Linked DNA regions of Arabidopsis thaliana. The protein of the gene in region 3 interacts with the protein of the main gene of each other region in a pairwise test. Each region holds a gene or a part of one and is shown on either strand. Other genes may lie near its edges.

The links.
Region 1: the proteins of AT3G12510 (region 3) and AGL26 interact in a two-hybrid assay, tested with the Arabidopsis thaliana proteins (one large-scale study listed by BioGRID).
Region 2: the proteins of AT3G12510 (region 3) and AT5G55690 interact in a two-hybrid assay, tested with the Arabidopsis thaliana proteins (one large-scale study listed by BioGRID).

What each region holds. Positions count from the first base shown.
Region 1 is NC_003076.8:9,450,894-9,461,908, forward strand, and holds AGL26 (tRNA (cytidine(34)-2'-O)-methyltransferase), read right to left. Parts: upstream 8,329-11,015; 5' UTR 8,298-8,328; coding exon 8,028-8,297; intron 7,951-8,027; coding exon 7,882-7,950; intron 7,808-7,881; coding exon 7,749-7,807; intron 7,631-7,748; coding exon 7,570-7,630; intron 7,499-7,569; coding exon 7,445-7,498; intron 7,336-7,444; coding exon 7,057-7,335; 3' UTR 6,798-7,056; downstream 1-6,797. Other genes in the region: LON1 (lon protease 1), read left to right, coding at 155-586, 984-1,049, 1,493-1,678, 1,750-1,815, 1,956-1,997, 2,108-2,230, 2,316-2,414, 2,487-2,552 and 11 more; AT5G26865 (AGAMOUS-like MADS-box protein), read right to left, coding at 6,408-6,788; AT5G26890 (uncharacterized protein), read left to right, coding at 9,572-9,823.
Region 2 is NC_003076.8:22,544,435-22,555,127, forward strand, and holds AT5G55690 (MADS-box transcription factor family protein), read right to left. Parts: upstream 5,661-10,693; 5' UTR 5,637-5,660; intron 5,212-5,636; exon of another isoform or gene 5,210-5,211; 5' UTR 5,190-5,209; coding exon 4,356-5,189; 3' UTR 4,273-4,355; downstream 1-4,272. Other genes in the region: AT5G55670 (RNA-binding (RRM/RBD/RNP motifs) family protein), read right to left, coding at 235-2,367; AT5G55680 (glycine-rich protein), read right to left, coding at 3,301-3,927; BAM4 (beta-amylase 4), read left to right, coding at 7,439-7,653, 7,826-7,954, 8,095-8,341, 8,586-8,806, 8,889-8,966, 9,041-9,200, 9,314-9,567, 9,668-9,737 and 2 more; Tic20-V (TIC 20-v-like protein), read right to left, coding at 10,561-10,693.
Region 3 is NC_003074.8:3,962,222-3,972,593, reverse strand, and holds AT3G12510 (MADS-box family protein), read right to left. Parts: upstream 5,500-10,372; 5' UTR 5,468-5,499; coding exon 4,946-5,467; 3' UTR 4,772-4,945; downstream 1-4,771. Other genes in the region: SULTR4;2 (sulfate transporter 4;2), read left to right, coding at 703-999, 1,170-1,218, 1,323-1,524, 1,613-1,781, 1,881-1,946, 2,034-2,141, 2,245-2,352, 2,558-2,623 and 9 more; HCHIB (basic chitinase), read left to right, coding at 8,610-9,069, 9,546-10,093.

The DNA.
Region 1 (11,015 bases), on a different chromosome or scaffold from region 3:
AGCAAACGGCTTTAGTTGGCCGGACCGGTTTGGTTTTCTGATAACCGGAAAATTCAATGAACCGACTCCAAAACGACGTCGTGTTATTGTGAAGGCAAAATGGTGTTGTTCTCTCTGCTGCCTTTAAAATTGGGGTTTTGCTTCGTCGGGGTTTATGAAGGGCTTTGATACTAATCTTCGTCTACAGGCTTCTTCTCCAGAATTCTCCAATGGTTTCTTGCCTAAAAGGCAAAACTTTATAAAACTCAATCGCAGAAATTGTTACCCCAGATCTTCTTTCTCTCCCACCATGTTAAAGCTCTTCACTTCCTCCGCCTCTCGAGTCCACCATTTGACTCCGGTAAGTAGGGTCGTCGGGTCTTCTCCAGTGGAGTCTCCATTGTTCAAAGCGTTGAGTCAAATCACTGGGTGGAATCGGCGATCTACTTCGTTGGGTCATCGTGCTTTCTTCTGCTCTGAGCCTACCAATGGAGAGGCGGCGGCTGAAGCTGAAACTAAGGCGGTGGAGTCCGATTCTGAAGTGTCTGACTCCAAATCTTCGTCTGCGATTGTGCCCACTAACCCTAGGCCTGAAGATTGTTTAACGGTTTGTGTAACTATGGCTTTTTGTTCCTTTCTCTGTGGAAGATTTGTTAGTGCATTTGTATATGCGTTATTGGATCGTTGGCAATCTAATTGTATAGGAAAATTTCAATTCTTGTTGGAATTATTACAAAGTTGTAAACTTTGGTAATAACTGAGTGGATGATGCTTATGAGGTGCTTTACATCTTTGTTGTTCTATTAGTGGAGAAAGTTGAAGCTTCTGATATTGTATGTTGTTCTATGGTGTTTGCTTAGAGCATTTTTGAATCTGTATTTAGTGGTTTGTTGTTAACAGTCAAGCAAAGACTAATTGGATTTTGTGAACATTTTACATTTGATCATTTTCATTTTAGCGGAGTTATGTTTCTCCTGATGGAGTTTTCCGTTGTTTAATTGCAGGTTCTAGCATTGCCGGTGCCACATAGGCCGCTTTTTCCTGGTTTTTACATGCCAATCTATGTCAAGGTATGTCAATTCATCATTTTCTGGCCTTTAAACACTCTCCAAAACTTGGCCTTGTTTGGTTCTCAAAATCTCATTCGATTCTCTTTAAATGGAGCTGAATCTAGCCTTAGAACTAGTACCGATATCTTCTTATTTTGTTCTCAGTAGAGCATGGATCATTGATTACCTAGTTTACAATCAAAAGTGAAGAGAACTTACATATCAGCTGACACCTTCTTTGAAATATCTGCTGTTTGGGTTTCGACATATAGATCAATTTTAGCCGCATTTGATGCAATTTTTTTGATAATTTACCCCATTGTTTATTAATTGTAATCTTCCCCGCCTGGGACAAAATAGCTAAAAACTATTTCCGTTAAACCACAGCGATGACACGATCTTTATAGTTTGGGAGATGTCAGGTTTTGCTTCTCTGACCAGCATGTGCGTTTTCTGGTGTGCAGGATCCTAAAGTACTCGCAGCCTTACAAGAGAGCAGAAGACGACAAGCTCCATATGCAGGAGCTTTCCTTCTGAAGGATGACCCATCAGCTGATTCATCTTCAAGCACTGACGCAGAAAAAAACATAAATGAGCTGAAAGGGAAAGAGTTGCTTAACCGGCTTCACGAAGTTGGCACACTTGCTCAGGTATTGTGTTGCTGCATTTGTTCAAATTAAAAAGCATGACTAGCATTACGATTTCCTTATTGATTTTCCAGATTTCAAGTATCCAAGGAGACCAAGTTATCCTTGTTGGTCACAGGCGACTTCGCATAAAAGAGATGGTAAGTCGGTATAACAGCGTTCGTACTTTGTAGAATTTTCAACCATGAAAGTTCCAAATCCTCGAAAGTACATCTTCACATCTGTTCTTTGGTTGATCAAGACACTTTTGGTTTAAGGGAGAAATTTTTCCTTTATACAGGTGAGCGAAGAACCACTTACCGTCAAAGTCGATCATCTTAAGGTACATTTTTCTGCTTTTAGGCTTTTCCTCTTATAATATGAGACTACTTTGATTTTGCTTTTTCTATTTGAAACTCTGAAGTCAGGAACCTTTTCTTACTCTCTGTGCAGGATAATCCGTTTGACATGGACGATGATGTCGTCAAGGCAACATCTTTTGAAGTTATTTCAACTCTTAGGGATGTACTGAAGACAAGTTCACTATGGAGAGATCACGTTCAGACATATACCCAGGCATGTTCTTGTCATAATTTCACCTGTTCTGGTAAAAAGGTCTCAGGGTACAAGTGTCTTAGTAGATGTCTTTCAACTTGTGTAGCATATAGGTGATTTCACTTATCCACGACTAGCTGATTTTGGAGCGGCGATATGTGGCGCAAATAGGCATCAAGCTCAAGAAGTTCTTGAAGAACTGGATGTAAGGAGCTTCATTATTGTTGTAATTGTATGATTCTTGGTCAATCTCTCATCTCTGTTTTTATTGACCCAGGTTCACAAACGTCTGCGGTTGACGCTGGAATTGATGAAAAAAGAAATGGAAATTAGCAAGATACAGGTACTTCATTCCCTTATTCTTGTGTCTTTCCCACTAAGGGACTACTTATCCGGTAACTGTTTGAATGGGATAAGATTCTTATCTTCTGAGCCTTTTATAGGAAACCATAGCAAAAGCAATTGAAGAAAAAATTAGCGGTGAGCAACGTCGTTACTTGCTAAATGAGCAGCTCAAGGCTATAAAGAAGGTATTACTCAGCCCGCTTCACAAAATATGCTTGCTATTTTCATCCACATACCATGTCTGTGTAATATATATACATATTTGGTTTGATTCATTTAAGTCATCCAATGCAGGAGCTTGGTGTGGAGACAGATGACAAATCTGCACTTTCTGGTCAGTACGAACTTAAAGTCTTAAACTATCTTCAATTACATGTAGTCAGTTTATATCCTAGTTAGAAATTTAGAATTTCACTGCCTCATGGATCACAATGCATTCATGAGACGTCAGTGTCTTTGGTATGAGTTTGGAGAGCCGTGCACTGTTAATTGTATGACAACCACAACTTATAGTCTGTTCTTTACTGCAGCAAAGTTTAAGGAAAGGATTGAGCCTAACAAGGAAAAAATTCCAGCGCATGTATTACAAGTCATAGAAGAAGAGCTTACAAAGCTGCAGCTGTTAGAGGCGAGTTCAAGCGAGTTTAACGTGACGCGTAACTACCTTGATTGGTTGACCATATTGCCTTGGGGAAATTACAGGTTTTTTACTTTTCATATATCTTTTTTTTTTTTTCTGTTTAAGTAAAGCAGTAAGTCTTTTGGTATGAGAGACTGATATAGAGACGGATGAGCTCTCATCTCATGGCACCATTTGTTTTTGTGTTCACTGATTTGAGGAATCTATTTTGTTAAATTTGCAGTAATGAAAACTTTGATGTTGCACGGGCGCAAACAATTCTTGACGAGGATCACTATGGCTTATCTGACGTAAAGGAAAGAATACTGGAATTTATTGCAGTGGGAAGACTTAGAGGCACTTCACAAGGTTTGATACTTATCCAGTAATTGTGATTTGATCTTGTTGAAAAAAACTTGTCCCCTTAAATTTGAGTAAATGTGTCCCCAGGGAAAATCATCTGCCTCTCCGGCCCTCCTGGAGTAGGCAAAACTAGTATTGGGCGGTCTATTGCACGTGCTCTTAATCGCAAATTTTTCCGGTTCTCTGTTGGAGGGTTAGCAGATGTCGCTGAGATCAAGGTATAATACCTTTGTTTTGGTATACTTGCAAATATTAGTCAAACATTTGTGACTGAATTCTTTCCTAGAAACAAAAAACCATTCTTGTAATTACATGTTTAGGGGCATCGTCGGACATATGTTGGCGCCATGCCAGGAAAGATGGTGCAATGTCTAAAGAGTGTGGGGACAGCAAATCCTCTTGTTCTAATCGATGAGATTGATAAGGTAATATATTTTTTGTTTTGATATTTGTCATCATATGGTAGCTTCTTTTATTCATCAGTACAATACTGTTTCAATCTCTAGTTACCAAAGACAAATTTCTCTGCAATAAATTGCTATATTGTTCCTTTGCAGCTGGGGAGAGGCCATGCTGGTGACCCGGCCAGTGCTTTGTTGGAGCTTCTGGATCCAGAGCAAAACGCAAATTTTCTGGACCACTATCTCGACGTTACTATAGATCTATCAAAGGTAATTAAATGTGGTCAAGGACCAAATTTTGTATTTCTTTTCTTCATGATGTTCTGTCCACCAATAGATGGATATGAATACCATTTTGTTTCATGTGATACTAGGCCGATTGAATTTAATTGCTGATCCATTTCCCTACAGGTTTTATTTGTGTGCACAGCAAATGTGATAGACATGATTCCAAATCCTTTGCTAGACAGAATGGAGGTGATTTCTATTGCTGGGTATATCACTGATGAAAAAGTTCATATCGCAAGAGACTATTTGGAAAAAACTGCACGTGGAGATTGTGGTGTCAAGCCTGAACAGGTCTCACTTTCATCCTATTCTCCAATTGTCTCTTCTTTTAACTCTCGGTAAATTAAAATGAGTGAGTGATTATCAATGAATCACATACTTCTAAGATTTCGTCAATTTGTTCGTACTATGCAGGTTGAGGTGAGTGATGCAGCGCTTCTTTCCTTGATAGAAAATTACTGCAGAGAAGCAGGTGTTAGGAATCTCCAGAAACAGATCGAGAAGATTTACCGTAAGGTAAGTTTTGCTACAAGACTCCGAATTGATTCCTCAAGCCCTCAATGTCGAACACCATTTACTTTTCTGTTGTAGATTGCACTTAAATTAGTGCGTGAAGGAGCAGTCCCCGAAGAGCCTGCAGTTGCAAGTGATCCTGAAGAAGCTGAAATCGTGGCTGATGTTGGCGAATCCATAGAGAATCATACTGTCGAAGAAAACACTGTGTCCTCTGCTGAAGAACCAAAGGAAGAGGCCCAAACCGAGAAGATAGCTATTGAAACGGTTATGATTGATGAGTCAAACCTTGCGGATTATGTAGGAAAACCGGTATTCCATGCAGAGAAGCTCTATGAGCAGACACCGGTAGGTGTTGTGATGGGTCTAGCTTGGACATCAATGGGTGGTTCAACATTGTACATAGAGACGACTGTTGTGGAGGAAGGGGAAGGTAAAGGTGGCCTGAATATAACGGGTCAGCTCGGTGATGTGATGAAAGAAAGTGCACAAATTGCTCACACAGTCGCCAGAAAGATCATGCTAGAGAAAGAACCAGAGAATCAGTTCTTTGCAAACTCCAAGCTTCATCTCCATGTTCCTGCAGGAGCCACTCCCAAGGATGGTCCAAGTGCAGGCTGCACCATGATCACATCTTTACTATCACTTGCCACGAAGAAACCCGTTAGGAAGGACCTTGCAATGACTGGAGAAGTCACACTAACCGGAAGAATTCTTCCTATTGGTGGGGTAAGTAACTCCGGACTTCTCTCACTCTATTCTATTAGAGCCTCTCTTTTTTTTTCCTTTTTTGACAATGTACACAAAAATGTTACAGGTGAAAGAGAAAACTATAGCGGCGAGGCGGAGTCAGATTAAAACAATAATATTTCCAGAGGCAAACCGGAGAGACTTTGATGAGCTGGCAGAGAATGTGAAAGAAGGGCTTAATGTTCACTTCGTGGATGACTATGGAAAGATCTTCGAGCTTGCCTTTGGCTATGACAAACAAGAAGACTGAGAACACACATAAGCCACGTTGACCTTTTGTCATCTGTTGTTGTCTCCATTTAAACAACACTACCATTCTTGATTCTCTTTGATCTTTTTCTTCCTTCAAGAAGAAAGTTATTCTGTAACTTTTTTTTTATGATTAGGGTAATTTATTGGTGGTTGGATTTTATTATTTTGGTATATAACCAAAGCCAAATATCATAATAAGACATCAGAACAAAGTAAAAAAAACAAAGTTGTTTCTCATTTTGTGCTTGTAATTTCATCAACATATTCGCGTATTACTTTCACTGTTGCTATGTGTTCGATCACACTTCATAACAGACTAGTAACTTGTTGGCATAATTTTCTGTTTTATATTCCTTTCTACTGGATTAGATGATGGGTAATTTGACTATTAAACTATGTAATGAAATGTATATATATTCTTAGTTCGTACTCAGACAAAAATAGGATTGAGAAGATAGCATTCATACTTAGGAAAAACATACAATTCAACACAAACTCTTCATCAGACAATTAACCTCATATAATCTGATATCTGAAGTAGAAACAGAGGCACGGACTTGATAGAAGCTACAGTTGTCATGGTTATAGAGAAAGACTGAAAATTTGCTCTGATGTTGACTCAATGGTGACGTCGATAGGTCTTGCTCTGTGTTTGACACACCGATATTCACCAATGGTTCTGTCCATTGTTGATGACGGGGATCTGACCTAACTCGGTCTGGTTTTTCTCGGGTTGTAGTAACAGAAGCTTATCTTGTAGTACCCGTAGACCACTTTCTAATGAATCCTTCATCTCTAAGACTTTCTCCGAGAGCTTACTGTTGTCGAGGATCTTCTTACGTAGAAACAGAGAAAGGTTGGTTCTTTTCTTGCGTCGCTCTCTCTCGTGTAGTTTGCTAAACCTCTCTGCCATGTCTCGAACCTTGGATTGATCCTCCGGCCATGTCTTGATGAGTTCTCCGTCACGACTATAAAGTATGACACAGACTTCGATATCGCACAGAGTTGAAAGCTCGAGGGCTTTCTTAAACATTGTATCTTCTCTCATAGACAAGTTTGGTTTCTTCTCACAGAAAATTTGGTTTTCTTCTTGACATCGAAGAATCTATTGTGATGTTTTGTTTACACAGAGATAGGAAAAAAATTAAGCTTTTAGCTTGTTCTCAAAGAGAAAATAAACTCTGAAGGAGAGAATTGGGATACAGATACAATAGGGTTTAGGGTAGTGACTCCTTCAAGATGAATATGAATGCTTACCAACCACCAATGGCTATGCCTCTACGTCTCCGTCTTCCTTTTTGCAACCATCCAATGTATCAAGCAAAGATATCCTCTGTCAACAATGGTTCTTCACCATTCACACAGCCTTGAGGTGCACACTCGATTTGCTCATAGTTAAGTTGTCTGGACGCTTCATACAGAGCAATCCCTACACTCACCGAAAGATTCAGACATCTCACATACGTTTCTACCATGGGAATACGTAGGGTCCCCCCTCCATATGGTTCGTGATTGCAGTCTGACAGCGCTTCAGGAGGTAGACCGCTTGTCTCTGACCCGAACAAGAGGTAATCGCCTGATCGGTAAGAAAAATCCTGCATCAAGTTGTAACCATTGTTTTCAGCTACCCAATTGCTAGTGATTGTTGCTATTTCTGGTTGGTAAACAATAAACTAGAGGTGGAAGGACAAGCAAGCAACTTACTGAATGTATCCTTGTTCCTCTTTTTGTAAAAGCTATCATTCGTTTTTCTCCCTCCTAAACCAAAGAGAAATATCAGACACCACACACACATAGGGACTTTAGCTACTCAAGGACAAGTGGTAAACCTGAAGCCTGAAATATTCTTGAAACTCAGCCCATGAGCTATGCGCTTTGACAACCACAAAGCTATGCTTTAAGTTAAGAAGAAGAAGAGCTAATGACAGCGACTAAACCTTAACACAAAAACAGTGGGGTAAACTCTCATTTCTCAATTCCTATGTAGTAGACAAATTAGGTAGGATACGGCCAATAATCCAAACCAGCTCGCTTAACTCTGGCGTCATCCACTTGAAAACCTAATGGCTGAAGCAGGAACAAATGACAGATTAAGTCATCAACACTGGAAATAATGAACAAGTCGTGTTTGGTTACTTTACCCCGACTAAATGCAGACCAACAGCTGAGGCAGCACATGTTCTTGCAATGCAACCTGTATTCCCAGGAATCTGTCAAGGAGAGTATAAGTTGTTTAGATCCATCAACATGTACTAAGAAGACCAAAGGTAGCAGTGAGAGTGCAAACCTGAGGAGAGACCAAAACTACATGAAGCAGCTTACTCCTCGCATCTTCCTTGACTCCTTCTCCGGCCCCTCGCGGCAGGGGATTTTTCTTATCTGACTCGCCTATACCAACTCCTCGGAGAGCATGAGACTGAATCTTGGAGGAAAACGAGTTGATGGAGAGAGATAGCTTGCCCTTGAGATGAGTTAAGCTAAGAGAGGGAAATAGACGGCCACTTGACCGCAGATGAAACGTCCTTGAAGCTATGACGCTCCGACAGCAACTCTCCATTCCCTCGCCTCCCTTCTCCGCCGCCCGCAGATTCCACGACGTCAAATAAGATATTAATCAATTGGGCCGGATACTTTTAGGCCCATTCAATACTATATCTAATCGCTAAAGATGAATTGGGTTAAGGGTACTACTTCAACTTAAGTAGTGAAAGTTGACATGTTAAATTCGATTTCCATATTTTACATTTTGAAGAAAACATACAATCGGGTTATATAGAATTTTTTAAATTCGATCGATTTCCATATTTCATACTGATTTCCATATCTTTTCTTCATTTAATGATGAAATCTAAAATTAGATCCTATTTCTAACCGTCGTAAGGTAATTATTAATTAATTAATTAAGGTAAGCAAAAACCCTTAATTATTGTCTTCACATTGAAGAACCCATTGTGTTGTTTACACACAAAAAAATAATAAAAAAATATAGCTCATCAAAGAGAAAATAAACTCTGATAATTATGTAACACGGTTCTGATATTAATCTAACCGTTGGGGTTTTTCAATAATTGTAGTAAAAACTCCTAATTTTTTTTTGAGTCACGGAGAAATTAAATTTAAAAGAGTTCTACAATTTTTTTTGTCTATATAACCTTTTTTTGCTAAATTTCAATTTGAACCAAAATACCCCTACTTTATATTTTAAGCATTTTTGAAAAAGTTTGACCTTAATAACATGTAGATCTACAAGAATATAGTTGATTTGTAAAAAAAAAAATTGTTATTTAGTTAAACAAAAATTGATTTTTTGATAGATAAAATTTTGTCTAAATTTTTTAGAAAACGATTTCTAGTAATCTATTAAGTTTAGAATTTCTATTCTAATATTTTGTACATATTTTACAATATTTAGACTATTTTTCTTTCTAACAATCTTAGAAAATAGGATATTCAATATCTAAAAATTGTAGAACATGTATTCTAAAATTCCTTCATGTTCTAAACTATGTGTGAAATTGTATTCTAAGAATTTCTATAGTTTCTGAAAACACTAGAACACGTTTTCTTAGAAATTTTCACTTTTAGAATTTATATTTTAACCCAAATTAGTTTTTTGTTTCTAAACTATTTAGAATAGATATAAAAAGTGAATCTTTGAAAAAAGAAAATAAATATTTATTAGATTTGAATTATTAAATCTACATGCAACTAAAATTAACAGCTCAACATGCAAATTGCAATTGACACTTCATGAGACACAAAATTGAGAGAAAAGACTAAGAACCAACCAAGTGATTCTAAGAACTTAACAAATCGAAACAGTTCTTAGAGATGAGACCTGTGAGGGAAGAGAGCGGCGGCGACACCGTTCTGAAGGCGGACTTTGGCGGTTTTGGTGGCGGAGAAGGAAGGGAGGTTGAGATGAGTGGTCACGACGGTGATGAAGAAGATTCAGGTGACTTTGGACACGACGACGCCGACCACAGAGAAGGCAAAGAAATCGCCGGCGACGACGACAACAGAGATGGCAAAGAAATCGCCTGCGACATGTGGAGAGTAAGTTCGCCCGAAAAAAAATTATAGAGCTGAATGCTTTTTTTTTTAATCGAGTAAAGGAGGAAGAGAGACAAAAGATAGGGTTTGTGAAAGAGTCTAATACATTTAGAGGATTTAGGTTCTCAAAATTTTACTTTAAACTAGTATTTCTTTTGTATAAATAGATTAGGAAATTTTAATTATAAAATAAAATGAGGGTAAATAAGACTTATTTTTTTTTGAAAAACCTATTTGATTAATTTATAAGAAAAAGAAATAGATGGACAATTTATTTTTAGATATCCTCTAGATTTAATTTCCCTCATAAAAATGCTTTGTATGTTTGATATCATAGAGAAAATCTAAATTAGATCCGATTTTACAAATATCAATCTAACCGTTGTAGTAAATGTAATTACTGATAATTAATTTAAGGACAGCAACAAAAAAGAAAGGGAATGTGACATTATTAGGCATTTTGTGAGAATCTTTTTACGTTTGAGGCACTTATGAGGGAGAAGACACTTTGCCATCTTTTTGAGAGGAGATTGGACTAATTTGCCCCTGAAGTGGTGAAAACACAATAATTTTTAAACTTATTTTTAATAAGATCGTGTGGGTGAGAAACTTTTTTTTTATATCATCTATCCCTTCCATATTCTTTTGTTTTCATCATTTTCAATCCCTCTTTCAAATCATAGTCGTTCTCAATAATTTTTACAAAATTATGAAAATTCTGAGGTTATCTCAAAATTCACAATCACAATCTATGTTTACCCTAAATTTCCTTTATTTTTTCAGTTTTGTATTTTTTTTTCTCCATTCTCCGTCATCAAATCCATTTCATTATCTGCAGCCTCCATCAATGAACGACTGTGACCAACAAAAAAAAGTAACATCATCGATTTCTCCTTTTCGAGATGAAGAAGAAGGAGATCCTTACTCTCTGCTACAAAGCTCCCTCTTCCCTTAATCTCCCTCTTTTTCTGGTTCCATGTTCTTCTCTCTTGTCTTACTTATGGTTTCTGGTTTCGTTGTTTTTTTTTGGGTAAAAGGTTTCTTTGGTTTTGAATCATAAAGGCCAATGTTACATGTTATTCGTTGATTCTAGATTAGGCTTTAGATTGTAAATCTTAAAACTTTTTTTTTATGTTATGTGTTCTTAATTTTATGATTTTATCCTTCAATTTAAATTTATATTTGTTAGATCTGTTGAATTTGTTGCCTTTGTTTTTGAATT
Region 2 (10,693 bases), on a different chromosome or scaffold from region 3:
GCAAAAGTATAAACCACAATGATAACTATCAACTCGAAAAATCATTGAGCTACAAGAGTATACACAAGTTAGACAATATGCCCTTGCAGACGGCTAAATTTTGATCAGAAAAACGAACCAGGCCAGTAACTAGTCAAAGTCTTAAAGCAAAAAAATCAAAAAGAATGGTAGAATTTACAATACATAAGGAACAAAAGTTACCATCAGATTCAACTACTTACTTTTATCTGATACTCATTCAGTAGTAAGCCGCCTTCTTTTCCCATAATCAGTATCCCTTGATTTTGAGCGATGGTTATCCTCGCGAGACAACCGCGATTTGTTGTGTCCTCTGGATGATCGGCCTCTGTTCCATTCCTCATCATGTTCAGGTTCGTCCCTGTGTCTAGTACGATGATCACCACCATATCGTTCTCGTTCTTCTCTATGACGATCCCTCTCCCTTTCCCTTTCTCTGTCACGAACATGTTCTCTGGAGCGTTCACGATCCTTATGATGATGTTCCCTCTCACGCTCACGACCGGTGTCTCTATCATCACGATGCCTTCTCTCTGGCATATCATAACCGTGACCAACATCTTTCTCCCTCGGTATGTCCCTTTCATAACCAGCATCTTTATCCTCACGATTCCTTCTATCAGATGAACCAGACCATTCCCTTTCTGAAGCTCTTTCTTTTTCCTTCACAGGATTTGGACGAGCCCCTCTTTCGTGATTAACCTCTCCATACTGATGATCAGATGCAGCTTCCTCCCCATAACTCGATTCCGCAGCTCTTCCACTACCCAGATCTTCACCAGCACCCCACCCTCCACTGTTAGGATCCCACATTCCCATATTATGCCCTCCATCAACACCAGCATTAGGCATCATTCCCATTCCATTCATCGGCATCCCTCGTCCAAAAAATGCTGGATTCACATGAGGTGCCACTCCAGGTAAACCAACTCCTCCTACAGGAGGGAATGATGACAAAAGCCCAGGAAACTGTGGACCTGGAGCCCCAGGGAATCCTCCATACCCTCCCATTCTCGCCATCGGTCCACCAAAAGCTTGTTCAAACCCTTGCCCCATCATTGGTTGATGCATCATATTCATAGGAGGCCCTGTACCCATTCCTTGACCAAACCCACCATTACCCATCAAACCTCTTCCACCCATCCCATTAGGCCTATTCCTCATTGGACCACCTGGTCCTCTACCACCCATTCCTTGAGCATTGCCTCTACCCCAATTACCTCTACCAAATCCTCTATTTTCCCCACCTTGGAAATTCCCGCCAATGGCGTTGTTGTTGTTGTTATTGTTGTTGTTGGCCACGAGTGGTTTACTTGGAGGATCAGCAGGCCCTCCTCTCTTAGCTTGTGCAATTACAGATTGAGCCTGTTGGGTCCTATTCACCTGTGCCTCTCCCATTCTCTTAACCGAATATGGGGACGCATACTCAACAACACAAGGCCTACCGTTGAATGGATACCCATTCAGCGCATCTTTGCAAGCCGAAGCTGCCACAGGATCATAGAACTCTACTTGACAATACCCTTTCGACTTCCCACTAGCTTTCTCATCAAAGAACTTAACCTCCTTCACTGCACCATACTTGCACAACTCTGCCTCAAGCTCCGCATCAGTTGTCCACCAATGCAGATCCCCTACGAAAAGAAAAGCTCCACCGCCTCCTCCACCACCAGTTCCCCCGCCAACAACACCAGGCATAGCGATATTAGCTCCGTTCCCAACCATGTTACTACCAGGTCCAGGAGGAATCCCGCCATTAACATTACCCATCACAGGTCTCATCAAATTCTCGTTATTCCCCAACACAGGCGGTGGTGGCAAGAGACCCTGCGAAATATTATTCCCTCTAGGTGCCTCGAGATCATTAGCCCGATTAGAAGCTTGCCCTAGCTCAACTCTCAGCCCACCTCCAGTACCAGTACCAATTCCACCAGGAATCTCCTGGCTAACATCGCTTACCTTAACCTCCTGAGCTCCATATCCACTAGAAGCGACCACCACATCAGTACCACTTCCACTTCCTCCTCCTCCTGACTCTGCTTCTGCTTCTTTCTCAACGCTCTCACCAACCAAACCAGGTATCGAAATCGAAACCTCAGCTTCACCTAAAACTGGTTCAACCCTATCTTCCTCCTCCATATTAACCTTCTCCTTTTCCTCGTTTCTAGATCCCGCTTCGTCGTTCTTTTTCATAGACTGAAGAAACCCTTCTCCAACATTAACGTCGTTATAAAGATCCTCATAATCATCATCCTCTTCCTCCGCCATAAACCCGTCGTCAGCAACGGCAGATATCGCCTCGTTTTGATGAAATTGATCCATCTGATCTCTCCCATCTCCCTCATCCATCTTAAAAGACTCTTCCTTGTGATAAAAAAAAAAGCTCCTTTCTCGAATCAGATTTATCACAAGCTTACGTTATCACTCGCTCGAACATGAACAATCTCAATAAAAGAAGAGATTTTGCAGAAATTTTGTCACCGGAGACAGGACCTGTTGCTAGAAACCCTAATCCGGTAGATTTGTGAAATTTCTTGGATTTTCTTTTTTGATTTCTTTACAATTAAAATTATTTTTTTCCTCGATGGAATCCAACTAATTTCACTAACATGCACCGTACACAGTCGCGCATTGTAGAGCCTTTTTCTAGTGTAGAGATGACACGTGTTTTCCGAATTTACGAGAACTAACAACAATCCAATACGCGTGGTTTCATGACCCAGAACAAATGGGCTTGCTTTTAATGGGCTCACTTATGTGAACTACCTGTCGTTCAAACTTTCGAAAACTTATTAAACGACTCGTCGTCTGATCATTTCTGAATAAAACTTCCTGTCGTCTCATAATAACCGGTTTTAGCCGGTTAACGGCTACTTCACTTCCGACAATACAGGCGCCACCAACGGTCATATATCTCTCGATTATCACAATTCACAACGTTTCGTGTTTAAAATAATTCTCTTTCTTATAATAAATCCATTAACCGAAACTTGCAAATACTTATTTTACTAAGAACTGAGAATCAGAACACTTTGGATTTTTGTTATCTTTCCCAGAATCAGACAAAACAAGAAAAACGATGCGTCGGTTTGCTGTAATTTACATTTTTGTCTTCTTAATTTCCATTTCTGGTAATGTAAAAGCGGCCAATGCACCCGCTCAATCGCCGAGACTCGCCGTGAAACATCATCCTCCGGCAAAATCTCATCATCTTGTTATTTCTCCGTTAAAGGCTCCGACAAAGTCTCCTCAAACGCCCACTTTACATCCGCCGGCAAAATCTCATCGTGTTATTTCTCCGTCGAAGTCTCCTTTAACTCCTACTTTACATCCTCCGGTGATCCAAAAATCTCCAGAGGCACCATCTTCGACGAAGCAAACATCGCCTTCAAAGTCTCCGGAGAAATCCTCTGTTTCCTCTCCGGCGGCCTTTGTGACTCCATCGATATCCCCTGTTCTTTCTCCGGCGACTTCCCCATCTTGGACCACTGCATCTCCATCGAAATCACCTGTTTTTACTCCGACGAATTCCCCTGTTTCCTCTCGAACCATTGCTTCTCCATTGAAATCCCCTGTTTCGTCTCCGGCGACTTCCCCTGTTACATCTCGTACCATTGCGTCTCCTCTGAAATCCCCTGTTTCATCTCCGGTGACTTCCCCTGTTTCCTCTCCGACTACATCCACGACTCCTGTCTCTACGCCTGCAACTTCCCCTGTATCCCCTCCCACTACAATTCCAGGGAAGTCTCCAATCTCTGCTCCAATGATAAGTCCCACCACCTCAATAGAATCGCCTGCCACCACCCCATCAAACCAACCACCAGTCTCCGCCGATGCTCCATATATCGCAGCAACATCGCCAGTAACAACCCCTGATATTCCATCAACTCCAGCGAATACGCCGGACATATTTCCTTACGGACGAGGTCCGGTGAGTAGTTCTGCACCAGCGACGGCGAATCTGGCTCCAGAGACTGCTGAGGTTCCCGCCGGAGCCAAGTCGGCTTCTAAATTCGTTCAACATGATCTCCTATGCATATTTTTGATCTTAGTAGCCACTTTGGTTCTTCCAGCTAACTAGCTTTTTGTCAGACTATAAGAAGACTCTTCAGTATATCTTGTAATTCTAATGAACAAGATACTTACTTGTTTTGTATTGATTACTTTATAGTATATTAATGTTGGTAGATTATATTTGTTAGTACAATATGTTTTCGTAAAAACACCATTTTCTTATTCCATGATATAGCTATGAAAAAAATCAACAAACTTAATAGAAACTTGATAAAAAGAAGTTTATAAAGCAACATTCAAACGGAAGAAACAAATGACATTTCTCACATAGAAAGTTTACTTGAATCCTCCAAATCATTAACTTGTGCAAACCTGAAGGGATAATCTTGGAACTGCTTCACATTGTTGAACATACTGTTTCCTAAACCCCAATGTATTGGCTCCATATAAGCTGTCCTCTGTACCATCGGACCATATGGACCATCCGAACAACTCCCGTAAAACAAGCTTTGCCCGTTCGCTATCATCGGCTCTGTCACATTCGAGAAGGAAGACACTTCCGCAGTATTTGAGGTCATCTGGTTATTAAAAGGGAAGAAAGAGAGCCCGTTGTAATCCATAGTAGGCAGAGGAAACAACTGATACTGCTCAAAACATTGCCGATTGTAACCGCATAAACCAAGTTGGTCATTAGACCAACAACTAGTGTCAGGAAATGTCTGATTCCTATTCGTAGCCTCTTGGATCTTGTTTTCTACTGCCATGAAAACCGCATAGAGGTCATTTAAAGAACACTGGTCGAGCTTTTTGTCCCATGTAGGATACTTTGTCGCAATCGTCGGTTTCTCCACCTTAGTGTTGTTTTTCTCCAAGCATTCTTGCACGGTGTATGTCTTGGTGCAGCTGCTTGACGCAGTGTCTCTGTACTTGGTTAAGATTTCACGGACTTTGCTCCCATCCTTTGGCCATAACTCGGGCTCCATGACCATTTCGTCCCCTGCTCTGCTCGGGCCGTACACAATGACACAAGTGTCCACACCGCAGAGTGTTGAGAACTCACTGGCTTTCTTATACAAACATGCTTTCCTCTTCTTGTAAGTCGTTATCCTCGTTTTCTCGTTCGTTATCCTCGTCATCTTTACCATCTTTCGACCCATCCAGATACCTTTGCTTCAATCTAAAAAGCCATAAAAGAGTAAAACACAACAATAGATCATAATCTTGAAAATTGAAATAGTAATATCATCATTTGGATGTAACGATCAGCTACCAAAACATACAGAAACACTACAAATTTACAACCAAAGCACTAATACTAGTAAACATTTTGTTGTCAATAAAAAATTTGTAACTCATATAGCTTTTAGGTTTACATTTTAACATTTCATAGCAATGTAAGCCTTACAAATGTATAGGGAAGAAAGATTCATATTATTTTATTCTCAATTTTTTCACTAATAAGCATAATCCTTATCGTTTTGTCAAGCTTCCTATGCATAATTCCAAATCCATATACGATTAACACGAATAGTAAAACAGATGGGATATTAACATAAAGTAAATGCAGAGTGATTACTAGAAGAAAAAAAGAATGTATATAATACCTTCTTTAAGAGCTCTACTTTCTGAAGTTTCTTGATTTAACAATGGAGTTCCTCTTTCTGTGTTTATATAAGACACACGCAAAAAAAGAATATATGTTTTTTTTTTTTTTTTTTGTCGTAAAGAATATATGGTTTATTCTCGAATATTGTTTCCTCCCCTAAATTACGGTAGCAATGCTGATATTTTATTTCTTTCCATGTTTTCGAGTAGAATTAAAGAGGACGAAGCTATACAAATCTTTAGTTTCTATGTTCACGCACAAGTGATAAGAGTTCAGTTAAAGGAAAACATTGTAATTACAGCATGATCAAGAAAGAAGATTTTGTTTGTGATTTGTGCCAATTAATTTTCTCAAATATTCCTTTTTTGCTTTAATTGAAAACTTTGTTAATATTCTTACGGAAATTTGGCGCCGGAGGTGGCTGAGGTTCCGTTTGCAAGTTGCAACAATGTTCTTATTGGTCTTCATGGCCACTTTGGTAGTTTGGTTGTATAGAAATTAGAAAAAAGATTAAAGTTTGTTGTCGTAAGTTTGTCACACTTCTGTGATGACTATTTGTACTGATACTCGATAGTTCATTTTAATATAATACTAGGAGACATCGACAAATAATAAATTTGTTTCATAAAATTTTAAACTACTAGTAGCTGTTGGTGTTGATCGATTGATCGGTAATTCATAGCCTTTGAAATATACATTTAACAATTTCACCAATCACCATATGCTCATACGCACTGGTATGTAACTAAAAAATGACTAGAACTTGTAAAATGTCCCATGCAATTATTACTTAGTGCGTATTTTGAAATTTTGTTTTTTTATCCTTTATTATCTTTCACATTCGAATAAATATCAGCTATATGTGATAAACAAAGTTTTGCCACTTGATGAGTAGTACTACGAGACTGAAACGTGACATATCGTGGACCCATGATTTAATTTGATCAAACTATATGACAATGAAGACGGAAATAATAGGTTAACTTAAATATGTGAGACATTTTTCGTATACTATTTATATGCCAAATTCACTACTATAATTGGTAATAGGCAGTGTTGATGGTGGCGAGTAGCATGGGATATGTTCTAATGGGATATTTTACATGCTTATCCACTAAGGGACGATATGTTTCCACGTCAGCAAAATGGTTAATTCCATTTTCTTTGTTAAAAAACCTTATTCAATGGATATTTAATATCATATAAAAAAATTACCATCTAAAAGTACAATTAGTTTGACTATATGCTATTCAAGTCCTCATAGTTTTATTATTCAATTATAAGTCAGTCATAATAGAAATTTAAACTTGTTTCCATGTTACACATTAAACACCAGTTTGAAAAAATCAACTCTGATTTTTATAATAAAATAAATGTAATCTCAATCATCTCCTGAACTTCAACAAGTAAAACGTTAATTAGTTTTGATAATTTCACTGATTTGTTTCATAAAAACACCTATACTCCTATAAATAATTAAATATTGTAGGCACGAGGTATATAGTAGAGAACGAAAGTTGGGGTCAATTATAGAAATATTTAAAACATACGGGCAAAAAATAGAAAATAAAGGCAATAAAGGAAAAAGTATAGGGTCAAGAAGGAATTATAAAGTTGATAATTTTCTTGATTTAAAAATTCAGTATATATATCAGAAAAGCCCCAAATAAATTTTGGGTCGTTAAAAAGAAAAGAAAAAGAGAAATAGAATTTTGCGTTTCAAGTACTCCATCTCCGTCTCTTTTCCTCCGCATCTAAAACCATCTGAGAAATATCTCCGACGAAGGAGAAGAAACGAAAATGACGGAGACTGGAGTAATCGGATGTGGCTGTCGCGGAGTCACCGGCGGCAATTTCTTCCATCCCGGAGGATTTTCTTTGAAATCTTGTTTCCTCGAGCAGAGTACAAAGCGTAATCGTAACTTTTTCCGAAGCGTTTCTATGATTCCTCCTTTCAAACGCGGTCGTTTCATCACTAAGTTGCGTTCCGTCGCCGGGAACAGCCGAATCTTTAGGTAATTAGTTTCGCTCTCGCTGTTAAATTCATGAAAAATGGAAATCGATTACATCATTTTCGTTAGTGGAATCAATTTGGGGAAGAAATTAGTTGTCTGCGAGTGAAATTGGATTGGAATTAAGTGATTTTTTAATCGAATTGTTGTTGTTGTTGATGAACATGATTAATAGCATGGATGCTCGAGAGAAATCACGATCGTTTGTGTTGGTATCATCAAGGCACAAGAGAGTTCCAGTTTTTGTGATGATGCCGATTGATACATTTGGAATTGATGCTTCTGGGTGTCCAAAGATTAAAAGGTTAAGTTTCTTGAAATGTTTCAATGTACCCGATTTATATAACCTTACATGGTATGAAATATAGTATAATTCCTTTTTCAGAACAAGACAAGTCTAGTTTCTTCTTTTAGTAAATGATATATCTATCTTTATTGTTTCAGGCTCAAGGCTTTAACTGTATCTCTTAAGGCACTCAAGTTAGCTGGTGTTCATGGAATCGCAGTTGAGGTTTGGTGGGGGATTGTAGAGCGTTTCTCTCCTCTTGAGTTTAAATGGTCACTGTATGAAGAGCTTTTTAGACTGATTTCTGAGGCAGGGTTGAAGTTACATGTTGCTCTTTGCTTTCATTCAAATATGCATTTGTTTGGTGGGAAAGGAGGCATCAGTCTTCCACTCTGGATCCGAGAGGTTGGTATTGTTAGAATTACAGGTATTTAGTTATTTGTTTGCGGTAGAGATAGAAGGTTGCCTGATGCGGATTTTTCTTCTTCCTTTGAATATTTTTAAGGTTGAGAACTTTTTCTGATGAAACCTTGGAGACTATAGATTTCTGTTACACAATCATAGATGCTAACTTGATTATGTTGTCGTTGGGAATGCTTTCCTTTGTTACGAAGTTTAGCTCAACTGCTTTTCACCTTATAATTTCCAGATTGGAGACGTCAATAAGGACATATACTATAGAGATAAAAGCGGATTTTCCAACAATGACTATCTCACACTTGGAGTCGATCAACTTCCTTTGTTCGGTGGCCGTACTGCTGTTCAATGCTATGAAGATTTTATGCTCAGTTTTTCAACAAAATTTGAGCCATATCTTGGGAATGTGATTGAAGAAATAAGTATAGGTCTTGGTCCTTCGGGGGAGCTTAGGTACTTCTGATCTTCTGTGGACTACCACCGGTAAAGCCACAATAGCTACAATAGGAGTTTCTTACACAGTTATCTCTTGCAGATATCCTGCACATCCTTCTGGAGATGGGAGGTGGAAATTTCCTGGAATTGGTGAATTCCAATGCCATGACAAGTACATGTGAGTGCTTATTTATTGAAAATTTGTATTTGCCTGTACTAATCACACTTACAGATTTATACTACTTGGTTTAGGATGGAAGACTTGATGGCAGTGGCATCCCAAGAAGGCAAACCTCAATGGGGAAGCAGAGATCCTCCGAATACCGGCTGCTATAATAGCTTTCCATCTGGAGTTCCGTTCTTTGAGGAGGGCAATGATAGCTTTCTCTCTGACTATGGTCGTTTCTTTCTAGTATGTTCTATATCATAGCCTCTTTGGTGATTCTGATATAATATATTGTTATGATATAAAAGTGGCTAGTAGGCTGGATTATAGATAACAACGTGAACTGCTTTTCATTGTAGGAATGGTACAGTGGGAAGTTGATTTGTCATGCTGATGCTATTCTTGCAAAGGCAGCCGATGTCTTGCGGAGACGTCAGGAAGAAGAGAAAAGCTCTGTAATGCTGGTTGCAAAAATTGGTGGAATCTATTGGTGGTATAAGACATCTTCACACCCCGCTGAACTAACTGCAGGTTATTACAACACCTCCCTCAGGGATGGTTATGATCCTGTAGCTTCCGTCTTGTCTCGTCATGGTGCTGCTCTCAACATCCCGTGAGAGCCTTTTTCTGAAGTTTTCTTTTACTATGTACATAATTCTCAGAAGCTGCATGGTCCAGTTTCACTAACGAGAGAATCTATCATATCTTTTCAGCTGCTTGGATATGGCAGATAGTGAAATACCTGAGAAATATCTTTGCAGCCCTGAAGGATTACGTAGACAGGTACTTTCTTTCGTAAACCCTTGATCCAGAATTCAATTATGTTCATATGAAGTATGTATGTTACTTGTATTTAGACCGGTCACTGTTGAAGCACTATTTACTTCCGTAGAGACACTTCAAACTAGTCTAGTCTCTGTGTTCTTACTGCGCTGCTACATTAGACAATTAAGCATGCCTTATAAGAACATGAACAAATCAGCATTATCACATTTTCTTTTGCTAGATACATGATGTTTCGAAGAAGTGGACAATACATGTGACTGGTAGAAACACAAGCGAAAGATTTGATGAGGTGAGTTATTTGCACATGCTTTAGTCTTATACGTCTGAGGTCAAAGTGGTGGTTATTAACCATTTTCTATATGAATTCTGCAACAGATGGGACTAAGGCAAATACGAGAGAACTGTGTGCAACCGAATGGCGACACTCTAAGATCATTTACGTTTTGCAGAATGAATGAGAAGATCTTTAGGGTCGAGAACTGGAACAACTTTGTCCCTTTCATTAGACAGATGAGTGCAGATATGTAAACACACTCACCACCCATTGGTGTGTTTGTCTTTTGTTACAGAATCGATCTTTCCTCACCATATTGCTTTTTCAGATATGTGATGAGGAGAACTAATCAAATCAAAAATTGTTATATGATAAAATCTCTCTCTGTTTCTATTCTTCATTTTGTTCTATCTCTATTGCAAAAGTCTTGCAGAAACCTTTTTCATTGGATCAAAAAGTTACATTGTATGTTTTGATTATCAGAAAGCGATCCAATACAGAAGGTTTAATCACAGCAAATGTGTTACATACAAAGATATTATTGAATCAAAGGACTTGCCTATCAGCAGCCTCGGCAACAAGAGGCAACCTCGGGGTCAGACCAAACAAGCAAGCAGAGAATCCATAGATCAAAGAGACAAGCAAGAAGAGGAACACTGTGCTGTCCAAACTCATCACC
Region 3 (10,372 bases):
CGCCCTTGCCTAAGTGAGTAGAAGTCAGGTATCTTCTGTGCCAACGTTGGTCGAACTCCCTGAGAAGTTAGAACACCAGCAGCATGTATCGGTATCGTTAATATATGACTTGTTTCTCCTGCATTGTGGTACATACTCCTTTGATATTAGCATCTTTTATGTTGTGACGAAAAGTTCACTTTAATGAACAGAAATATTAAGATGGCAAACGAGTTTTATGGGTGAAATGGTCACACGAAGGATCCCATATGTTTTCATTTCAAGTATGTGGGCTGAAATCGATCAAACACTTCTGCAAAATGAGCTCAGTGTTTTTTTTTTATGTGATACACAATTTACTGGAGAGCACAAAAGGTTGAAACATACGAACTCATAAACCAGCTAGTTTAATGTGACAATCTAAGTATGAAAAATGATTGAATTTTAAAACTGAAAGAATGATGAACCTGAATCATGACAGGATATTTAGAGATGGTACTGTTCAAGTCAAGGCTTATACTTAACAGTAATCAACGAAACATACTGATTAATTAAGACACGCAATGATATGATTAATGATCAAGATAAAGTTATGAATGTAGCTGCCATATCGTCCTTATCCATCCCAAACTGGCACTACGCTATGCTCTGTTTCTTCATGCTACAATCAGTGATACGTCTTTCTTCACGTTGATCACATTCTTCTCTATCCCACCAATTCCGATGTCCCTCGCCGTCAAGGATCTCTCCACCGCTTCATCCTCTTCATCTAAGGCGATTCCGGTCAAGATCATTCCTCTCCAGTATCCCGATTCCACCTCTTCTGATCCTCACTGTCACTCCATTCCCTTTAATGATTTCTTCTCCCGATGGACGGCGAAGATCAAGCGCATGACGTTCTTCGACTGGATTGATGCAATATTTCCTTGCTTCCTTTGGATTCGGACTTACCGGTGGCATCAGTACTTTAAGCTCGATCTTATGGCTGGTATCACCGTCGGTATCATGCTTGTTCCCCAGGTCATTTTCTGTTTCTTCATTTCCGATTGATTGTTGATTCTATCTTCCCTGAATTTATACCATCTAGAGATAAGCTTAAGTGAATCACAGGAACTCTAATGAGTATGTTTGTTCTTCTTGTTTAAGTGAGTTTAGTTTCTAAAAACTTCTGTTTTGATGGATTTGAGCAGGCAATGTCGTATGCAAGGTTAGCTGGGCTTCAACCAATATACGGTCTATGTGAGCTCAATATGAATATACCCTTTTATGAATTCATCAATGTGTGTGAGAGATACTAAGCTATTCCCACTTTTGCATGTAGTTATTAATCTTGTTTGGTGCAGACTCCTCATTTGTGCCGGTATTCGTGTATGCCGTCTTCGGTTCATCCCGTCAGCTTGCAGTTGGACCTGTAGCATTAGTTTCCCTTCTCGTTTCTAATGCCTTGAGTGGAATTGTTGATCCATCTGAAGAATTATACACTGAGCTTGCCATTTTGTTGGCTCTTATGGTCGGAATATTTGAGAGCATTATGGGGTTCTTGAGGTATTTATAGTCTTCTCTTTGTTTGTGCAAGGAATCCTGTATTTTTTGTAGTGTTAGAACAAGTTGTTCGTTTGTTTTTTCAACCCAGGCTTGGATGGCTTATTCGTTTCATAAGTCACTCAGTCATTTCTGGATTTACAACTGCTTCAGCTGTTGTAATTGGGTTATCCCAACTGAAATACTTCCTAGGGTATAGCGTTTCTCGGAGCAGCAAGATTATGCCAGTAATTGATAGCATAATAGCTGGAGCTGATCAGGTCTGGTCTTCAGATTCTTAATGGTGTTGCAATTCCTTTTGGTTCAACATACCTTCTATGCCTTACTTGTATAACTTCATCTGAATTTCTGTTTTGTAGTTTAAGTGGCCACCTTTCTTGTTGGGATGTACCATTCTGGTGATCCTTTTAGTAATGAAGCATGTGGTATGAGCCTTGTTCTTCAGTGTGTCATTAGGATACTTCTTATGTTCCCTTACTTTTATTATGCTAAGGCATCATTTTCTGCGGCAGGGAAAAGCAAAGAAGGAACTTCGGTTCATACGAGCAGCAGGACCGCTCACAGGTCTTGCTCTTGGTACAATCATTGCAAAAGTGTTCCATCCACCTTCCATCACACTGGTCAGATTGCTAAAGAATGAAATTCTTATATTTTTCCCTATTGAAGCTACATTTTTTGTGAGTGTTTTCCGTAATTGATTGCAAAGTTTTTAGGATTTCTCAGGTGGGAGATATACCTCAGGGACTTCCAAAGTTTTCTTTCCCAAAAAGTTTTGATCATGCCAAATTACTGCTTCCAACATCGGCTCTCATTACTGGTGTTGCCATCTTGGTGAGACATCATTGTCATTAACTTTTTCCTGGACTTACGTGAGTTGCAGCTGAACCTAATCATGAGAATCTGTAAATGGATGGATATGGCTGAGACATGGAGTAATTTGACTTCCTGAGAAGCAGAAGTGGAGTTTCTTGATTAGTTTCAGCTGCAGTATGCGCATGTTTTTGTGTTTTCTGATATGCTAGTTCGACTTATCCAGGAATCTGTAGGTATTGCGAAAGCACTAGCCGCGAAAAATAGATACGAATTGGATTCAAATTCAGAGGTATAAACCCTAGAGAATAAAGAAAATCAAGTGCAAGCGGCTAGCCCAATTCTTACCATTAAATGTTGTAACTTGTTCTTTTAATGGCTACATCTTATGGTCATTGAGAGTTCTGTCTGTTTTTCCCGTGACTTGGCAGTTGTTTGGTCTTGGCGTTGCAAATATATTTGGGTCACTATTCTCTGCATATCCAACTACAGGTACGTAATCTTGACTGTTGAGATTAGTAGACAACATGTAATGTGTGTTTTCTATGATAAATTCAAAACAAAAGGTGATAATATTTTCTAAGTTGTAGCCTGAATTTGATGTATCTGTTAATTCCCTAAATGTGTCATAGGATCCTTTTCTAGGTCAGCTGTGAATAGCGAAAGTGAAGCCAAGACTGGTCTATCAGGCCTTGTAACAGGAATCATCATTGGATGTTCTCTACTGTTCTTGACCCCAATGTTCAAATTTATACCACAGGTAGGTCTGTGTTGAGTATTTCTAATTCCAGTCCTGTGCTCTCTTGTTTTTATTTTTTAGTCTGAAACTCTGGAGAATTTTAAAACTGAAATCTGGCTTCTAATTCCTGTCTGTTTCTCAACTACGCAGTGTGCTTTAGCAGCAATAGTTATCTCTGCTGTTAGTGGTTTGGTAAGTTCAAATAAACCCACCAGAAAAGAATCTGGGGTGTGTACTTATTGTCTTTGGTTATTGAGCAATATATATTCACATTTATTCTTTCTGGATGTTTACCATATTAGGTGGACTATGAAGGGGCAATCTTTCTGTGGCGTGTGGACAAGAGAGATTTTACTCTTTGGACCATCACTAGCACCACCACTTTGTTCTTTGGAATAGAGATTGGGGTCCTCATTGGTGTGAGTATGCTCATACTCACTCAGCTTTATTTCTGTAGCTGATCATATCTCTTTGAAATTAAAAGGAGTGATGATGTTGAAAGTAGTATAACCACCTACATGAATTGTGCAACGCTTTTAAAGGACTCACAGAGTTGTAATGCTTGGAATTTTTCAGGTTGGTTTTTCACTTGCATTTGTTATACACGAGTCTGCAAACCCTCATATAGGTGAGATAAGTTTCTGTTCAATTTGCTTGTTTTGTTTCTCAGAAATGGTTTTCACTCATATCCTTGATCACATACCATTACATATGTTTTGGCAGCTGTCTTGGGGCGTCTTCCAGGGACCACTGTGTACAGAAACATGAAACAGTATCCAGAGGCATACACTTACAACGGGATTGTGATTGTTCGAATCGATGCTCCCATTTATTTTGCCAACATAAGCTACATCAAGGACAGGTGAAATTGACATTTGGTTCCTGACTTGCTTTCTGTTATGATCCACATAAAGAATCAACACAACAACACCATGTTTCGAAATTGCAGGCTACGAGAATATGAAGTTGCTATCGACAAACACACAAGCAAGGGCCCAGATATGGAGAGGATCTACTTTGTTATCCTGGAAATGTCTCGTAAGTCCAATGTTTCTTCTATTCACAGTTCGAAACTTACAGAGGTGATTAATCTAATCGACAATGGGTGGGATGTAACGCAGCTGTCACATACATCGACTCGAGCGCTGTAGAAGCTTTAAAAGATTTGTACGAGGAGTATAAAACAAGGGGCATTCAGGTGCAAACCTGATATCATCATCATTATTTAGTACTTGTTTCTAAGTTGTCAATACCTTGATGATTAGTTGGTTTTCTATGGATCAGCTAGCGATTTCGAACCCAAACAAAGAGGTTCTCTTGACTCTAGCAAGAGCAGGCATTGTGGAACTTATTGGCAAAGAATGGTTCTTCGTGAGAGTACATGACGCAGTCCAAGTTTGTGTTCATTACGTCAATAGACCCACAGATGTAGAAGAAAGCAGCAAACCAAGCTTATGGAGAAGAAGCGGCCTGAAAAACTCATCGACCTACACTGAAGTTGAATCGAACATAGTTTTAGAGGAACCATTGTTGTCAAGAGAGAAATAGAGACATTGAACACTTCGATTCTTTTTACAATAATGTAATGTATGTATCAAATAAAGCATTCACTTTGGTTGAGAAAAATATGATTCCCATTTCTCTGTTTCAACCTTAAAAAACTATTTCTTATGTAATGTATAGAAAAGCACAATAAAAATTGGAAGTCATAAGATTTATTGATGTTAAGAATAGAATAATAGTTTGGCAACCAACAGAGATAATCCATAAGACGATCAAATCAACCAATCCTGGGACATCTGGGGCAATATCATAGAAATAGAAATCAAAACGATTAAACTAAAAGATAGAACATGAAAATGCATGAGAGCGCCTTTAGGTTTTGGGGTCAGCAGCTTTGTCGTTGTGAGGATCCTTTTGATTTCCAGAAGCTTCAGCTTTCAGCATAGCGTCAAGTTCGAGATTCAAACGTTCCTTCAGCCTCAGCATCCTCTGACACGCAGCGTTCAATTGCTCTGGATTCATCGATTCGAATTGCTTAGTATCTTCCCACCAAAACCTTGGGTGCTCAACCTCCGCATCCTCCTCGTCTTCATCTTCCTCCTCCGCATCATCCACTGGTGCTGGATTATTCTCGAGGAAAGTGTTAACAACGCCATTGACAGAGGGAAAGCCGAAGGAGAACATAGAGACGTCCGATTCGGAGGAAGAAGGAGGAGGAGTAACGAAGATGGCGATTTTGGTGGAGGGATCTTCGGAGACAAGTTTCGCTGCTTCGCGGAAGAGATCGTCGCGTAGTTCTGCGAAATTAACAGATCCTGATGCTTCCTTCTTCTCTACCTTCTCCATCTCCATCTTCGTCTCCGTCTCCGTCTTTTGCCTCTTAGAATCTCCCATTGTTGTACCGTTTCGAATTTTGATTTCACACTGTTCTTAATTTTTTTTTTATAAGCTTCTTCTCTTCTTAAAGACGTCACTAACCGACTCCAAGCGGAAAAAACCCATCGAAAATCGACGATGGTCCTTGATTCATCCACGTGTACGGTGGAGATGATGCTGCGTGTGAACCCAATTCAATTAAAAATCTGAATTACCAATTTTCCTTTACAAATTGGTTAATATCTACTTTATTAAGATAAGATCAGTAACTAATTAATTATTATAATTTTAATTAAATGTTTACCCAAAACCAAGTTCGAAACGATCTGGAATTTTGTTAAATGCAACAAAACAAAACAAAATTAATCTGATTTTAACATCTTCTGATCTCCGGCCCAATCCAATAGGCTTAATGATCTTACATCTTTTTTTTTTTGGGGCAAATCCAATAGCCTTTAATGATCAAACTTTTTCTGTAGTTACACCAAAAAAACTGAATATCTATTCTACTTCCTAAATGCATTAATGTTAGGCAATCATAGTCAATGTTGTAGTTGAATAGACTAACTAATCTAAGCCCTATGCACACACATGTAAAAATGAGACGCAACAATATTTATGTGAAGCACGAAAGAAAAATGAGTTCGTTAATCAATCTGATATCTCAATCCATTCCCTAATTCGAGTCATAACATAAATTGTTTGCTAGGTAGGATAACAACAAAGGTTTCCAGAATAACAATATAATTACACTACAATTTAGCTAGGTAACAAATAAATCAGTGAATTATTAATATAATTAGTGGTTCAAGTAGTATATACATCGTTGCATGTCCATGAAATACAAGATGTGGAGATTGTTCGTTCCAAAAACGAGGAACATATTATTTTTTGTTGCTTGATGTGTGTGTGATATATCACCTAATGATCCCATGTGATCAGAATCAGATGCAACTGCCTAGATTTGGTTCTTCATTGTTTTCAGGAATAAAAGTCAACTAGATTTTAACCCGCGGTATACCGCGGGATGATTTATTTTTAAAAAGTAATATATATTAAAACTTGCAAATTTTATTTTTATAAAATATTTATATTTTACAGTTTATAATTATTATTAAATAACGTTATACTACGAAATCCATTAGACAATTATTAAAAAATTAAAGTTTTAATCCTATTAAAACAACATATTAATAATATTTTAAAATTTTATAAATATTGATTCAAATACATCCACCATATAACTCAATTCCAAAATAAAACTCGTTCTATAATTTCTTTACCCGTCCCGTAATTTTTTAATTAAAGTAGTAATTTTAAAAATTTAAGAATTATTTATTATATATAAAAGTTTTGTAAATTGTATCATTTTCTAATACATTTATATTTTATAGTTTAATTTTATATATAGTAACATTATACATACCACGTAACATTTTTTGTTTTATATAATCTTTTCTAAATTAGGATGATTTGATATATTTAATATTAGTAGTCTTAAAAAATAATAAATTAAAAATTTAATCCGTATTAAAACGGTGGATTAATTAGATTTTACTTTTTTATTAATGTTGATTCAAAAACCCATCCCTCCAAATCCGTCTTGCCAAAAAGCCATTTATTTTATTAATATTAATTTATTTATGATATGACTCTGAATTATAATCTAAACATTTTAGCTAATAACATAGGAGTGCACCATATTTATTTAATAGGAGAATGTACTATATGACCTGAATGCACTTTTACTCAAATCCACCAAAAAAGTCTTGCAAAAATACTATAGACCCGAATGTACCATATTTTTTTATGCTAATTTTTCTGTAATTAAGATTTTAATTGATTTCGTATATAAAATATTAAATTGTTTTACGAACTTATTTGTTTATAATTTGGTAACAGATAGATATTTGAATATTCGGTATATTTTGCTTCAGTTTAGGAAATCTTTGATGACCCGTCTTTAAATCCAATAAGCCCTATAATTAAGAGATGAATATTGTCGTTAAATGATTTTGGTAATCTTAATGATGTCATTAAAAGATTCTATTTTTGATTAAAATTTTCTAATGGTATTGTCATGTAATTAATTACAAAAATTAAGATTACATTTAAAATGTATTTTGTAGGATTTGCCAATATATTCACATTACAATATTATTTTTTTCCATGGTCGATTATTTCTACCCGAAAGAGACGGCAACGCAGCCCACAGTGAGATTGGAGATTAGAGATTCAGTCAACGATGATTAACGTTACTTTTCATAGTTAGTACATAAGAATAGCACGCAGGTTTCGTCGAGGTTTTGGATTTTATATAGTTTGTAAACATGACACGTACTTTGGATAAAACATTATGAAATAGGGAAAGTCATCATGAGTAGTTGGAATAATGAATATATTAAATATTGGTATGATTTGGTCTTGAGTCATTATATCATTACCTGGCTAATGCTATACGTTACCTTATAATGAATTCTAAATGTCTCAATTGCTTTTTGAAAAAGTTGATCACGAACCCGCCGCCTCATATTCATAATTAAAGTTAAATTTTGTTTTTGTCAACATTGATCATAGTTAAATATTTAGACACGTCTATTTTTATTTTCTCCACGTTATACATTTTCTTGACTATTCATGCAACTCTTGTGATCTTGTCTTAGATATAGTCAAGTATTGTGTATACATCATAGGGAATATCCGAATATGTGTGTGTTTGATTAATTAGTGCACACTAGCTCAGATCATCGATTAGTCCGCAACTCGAGTAAACGTGTTTTCAGACCACCCAAAATTTTACGACCTTTGTGTCCCACTATCTACGTCGATAGTAACTTTAGAACAAAAAACTCAAAAAGAGTGTAATTTGTTATGCTTTTGGTCTTCTAAAATTTGTATTCTTCTACCAACATTTAGCACAGTTTCATACATAGAAAGTTCTCATTACTTGGAATTAACATGATAATCCCCCAAAAAAACAAATCAATATCTAACCTAGCAACAATGACGGAAGGAAAATAAATATAATCAAAAACAAACCTACCAAATACTGTTTGTTCCCCATAGCCACACTCCATAGACATAACAAACAATAAACTATGGAAAAAGATAGAATTTGATGTGATAAAACATTCATTAATTGGATCTATATATATCTTTCATGCCTCCACAAAAAGAAAACCATAGAACATTGAACAAAATGAAGACTAATCTTTTTCTCTTTCTCATCTTTTCACTTCTCCTATCATTATCCTCGGCCGAGCAATGTGGTCGCCAAGCTGGAGGAGCACTCTGCCCCAACGGTCTATGCTGCAGCGAGTTCGGCTGGTGCGGTAACACCGAACCATACTGTAAGCAGCCTGGCTGCCAAAGCCAGTGCACTCCCGGTGGTACTCCTCCTGGACCCACCGGCGATCTTTCGGGCATCATTTCAAGTTCTCAGTTCGATGATATGCTTAAGCATAGGAATGATGCCGCTTGTCCTGCTAGAGGTTTCTACACTTACAACGCCTTTATCACCGCTGCAAAGTCCTTCCCCGGTTTTGGCACCACCGGAGACACCGCCACGAGGAAGAAGGAGGTCGCCGCCTTCTTCGGCCAGACTTCCCATGAAACTACAGGTACCCAAAACTCATTAACAATTTGACGGAGATTGTTTCAAAACACAATTGCTAAATTTTGGTGTTTATTATTAAAACATCAGAATTTGAAGTTCTTTTTTTCTTCTGTAAAGAGTTTTGGATCCAAGTGCTCATATATACAAAGAACTACTATACTATATATATATATATATATATATATATATGTTTTATTGAAAAAATTATAGCTTCTCATATTTAGAAACGAAAGAAAAAAATCAAACAAAAACGCCAAACGCAAAGAAAAATGTTTTGGTCTTAGATGTTTGCGTTTACAATTAAAAAACTATTTTAAAAATATGAAATTCTTGATTAATCTAAACGCAAATAACCAATCAAGGAACTTACGAATATTCCAGTTTCCAAATTATACACTTTTGAATAATGTCAAGTTTGTGAGTTGTGACTATATATATAGCTATATACTAATTAATTAAGTGGACGGTTACGTCGTGCAGGTGGATGGGCTACAGCACCAGACGGACCATATTCATGGGGCTACTGTTTCAAGCAAGAACAGAATCCTGCTTCAGACTACTGTGAACCGAGCGCCACGTGGCCATGCGCATCTGGCAAACGCTACTACGGAAGAGGACCAATGCAACTGTCGTGGAACTACAATTACGGTCTATGCGGTAGAGCAATAGGAGTTGACTTACTCAACAACCCTGACCTTGTTGCCAACGACGCAGTGATCGCTTTCAAAGCCGCGATTTGGTTCTGGATGACTGCTCAGCCTCCCAAACCGTCTTGCCATGCCGTGATAGCCGGCCAGTGGCAGCCTTCAGACGCCGACCGTGCCGCCGGGAGATTACCGGGTTATGGAGTGATTACGAACATCATTAACGGTGGATTGGAGTGTGGACGTGGCCAAGACGGGAGAGTCGCCGATCGTATAGGGTTTTATCAGAGGTATTGTAACATATTTGGTGTTAATCCTGGTGGTAATCTTGATTGTTACAACCAAAGATCCTTCGTTAACGGCCTCCTCGAAGCTGCTATTTAGTAACGAGAGTATTATTATTATAATATAATACGCAGCTTTGTATTATCAAAACAATAATATCAGACTAATAAAACTCTTTCCAATGATGTTTCACTGTTTATGTTGCGATTTTATTTCCCATGGGCCTTTTTTAATTGGGCTCTCTAGCAGATGAGAGAAAGACGAAGAAAGGTGCATAGATGTTTTAAACTTCGATTACAAGTAAAGGTGTTTGACAATTTCTGTGTGACTCTGCCGACACGTTTCGTATAACGTGCCGCTATCCTCAGCAACGTTTTC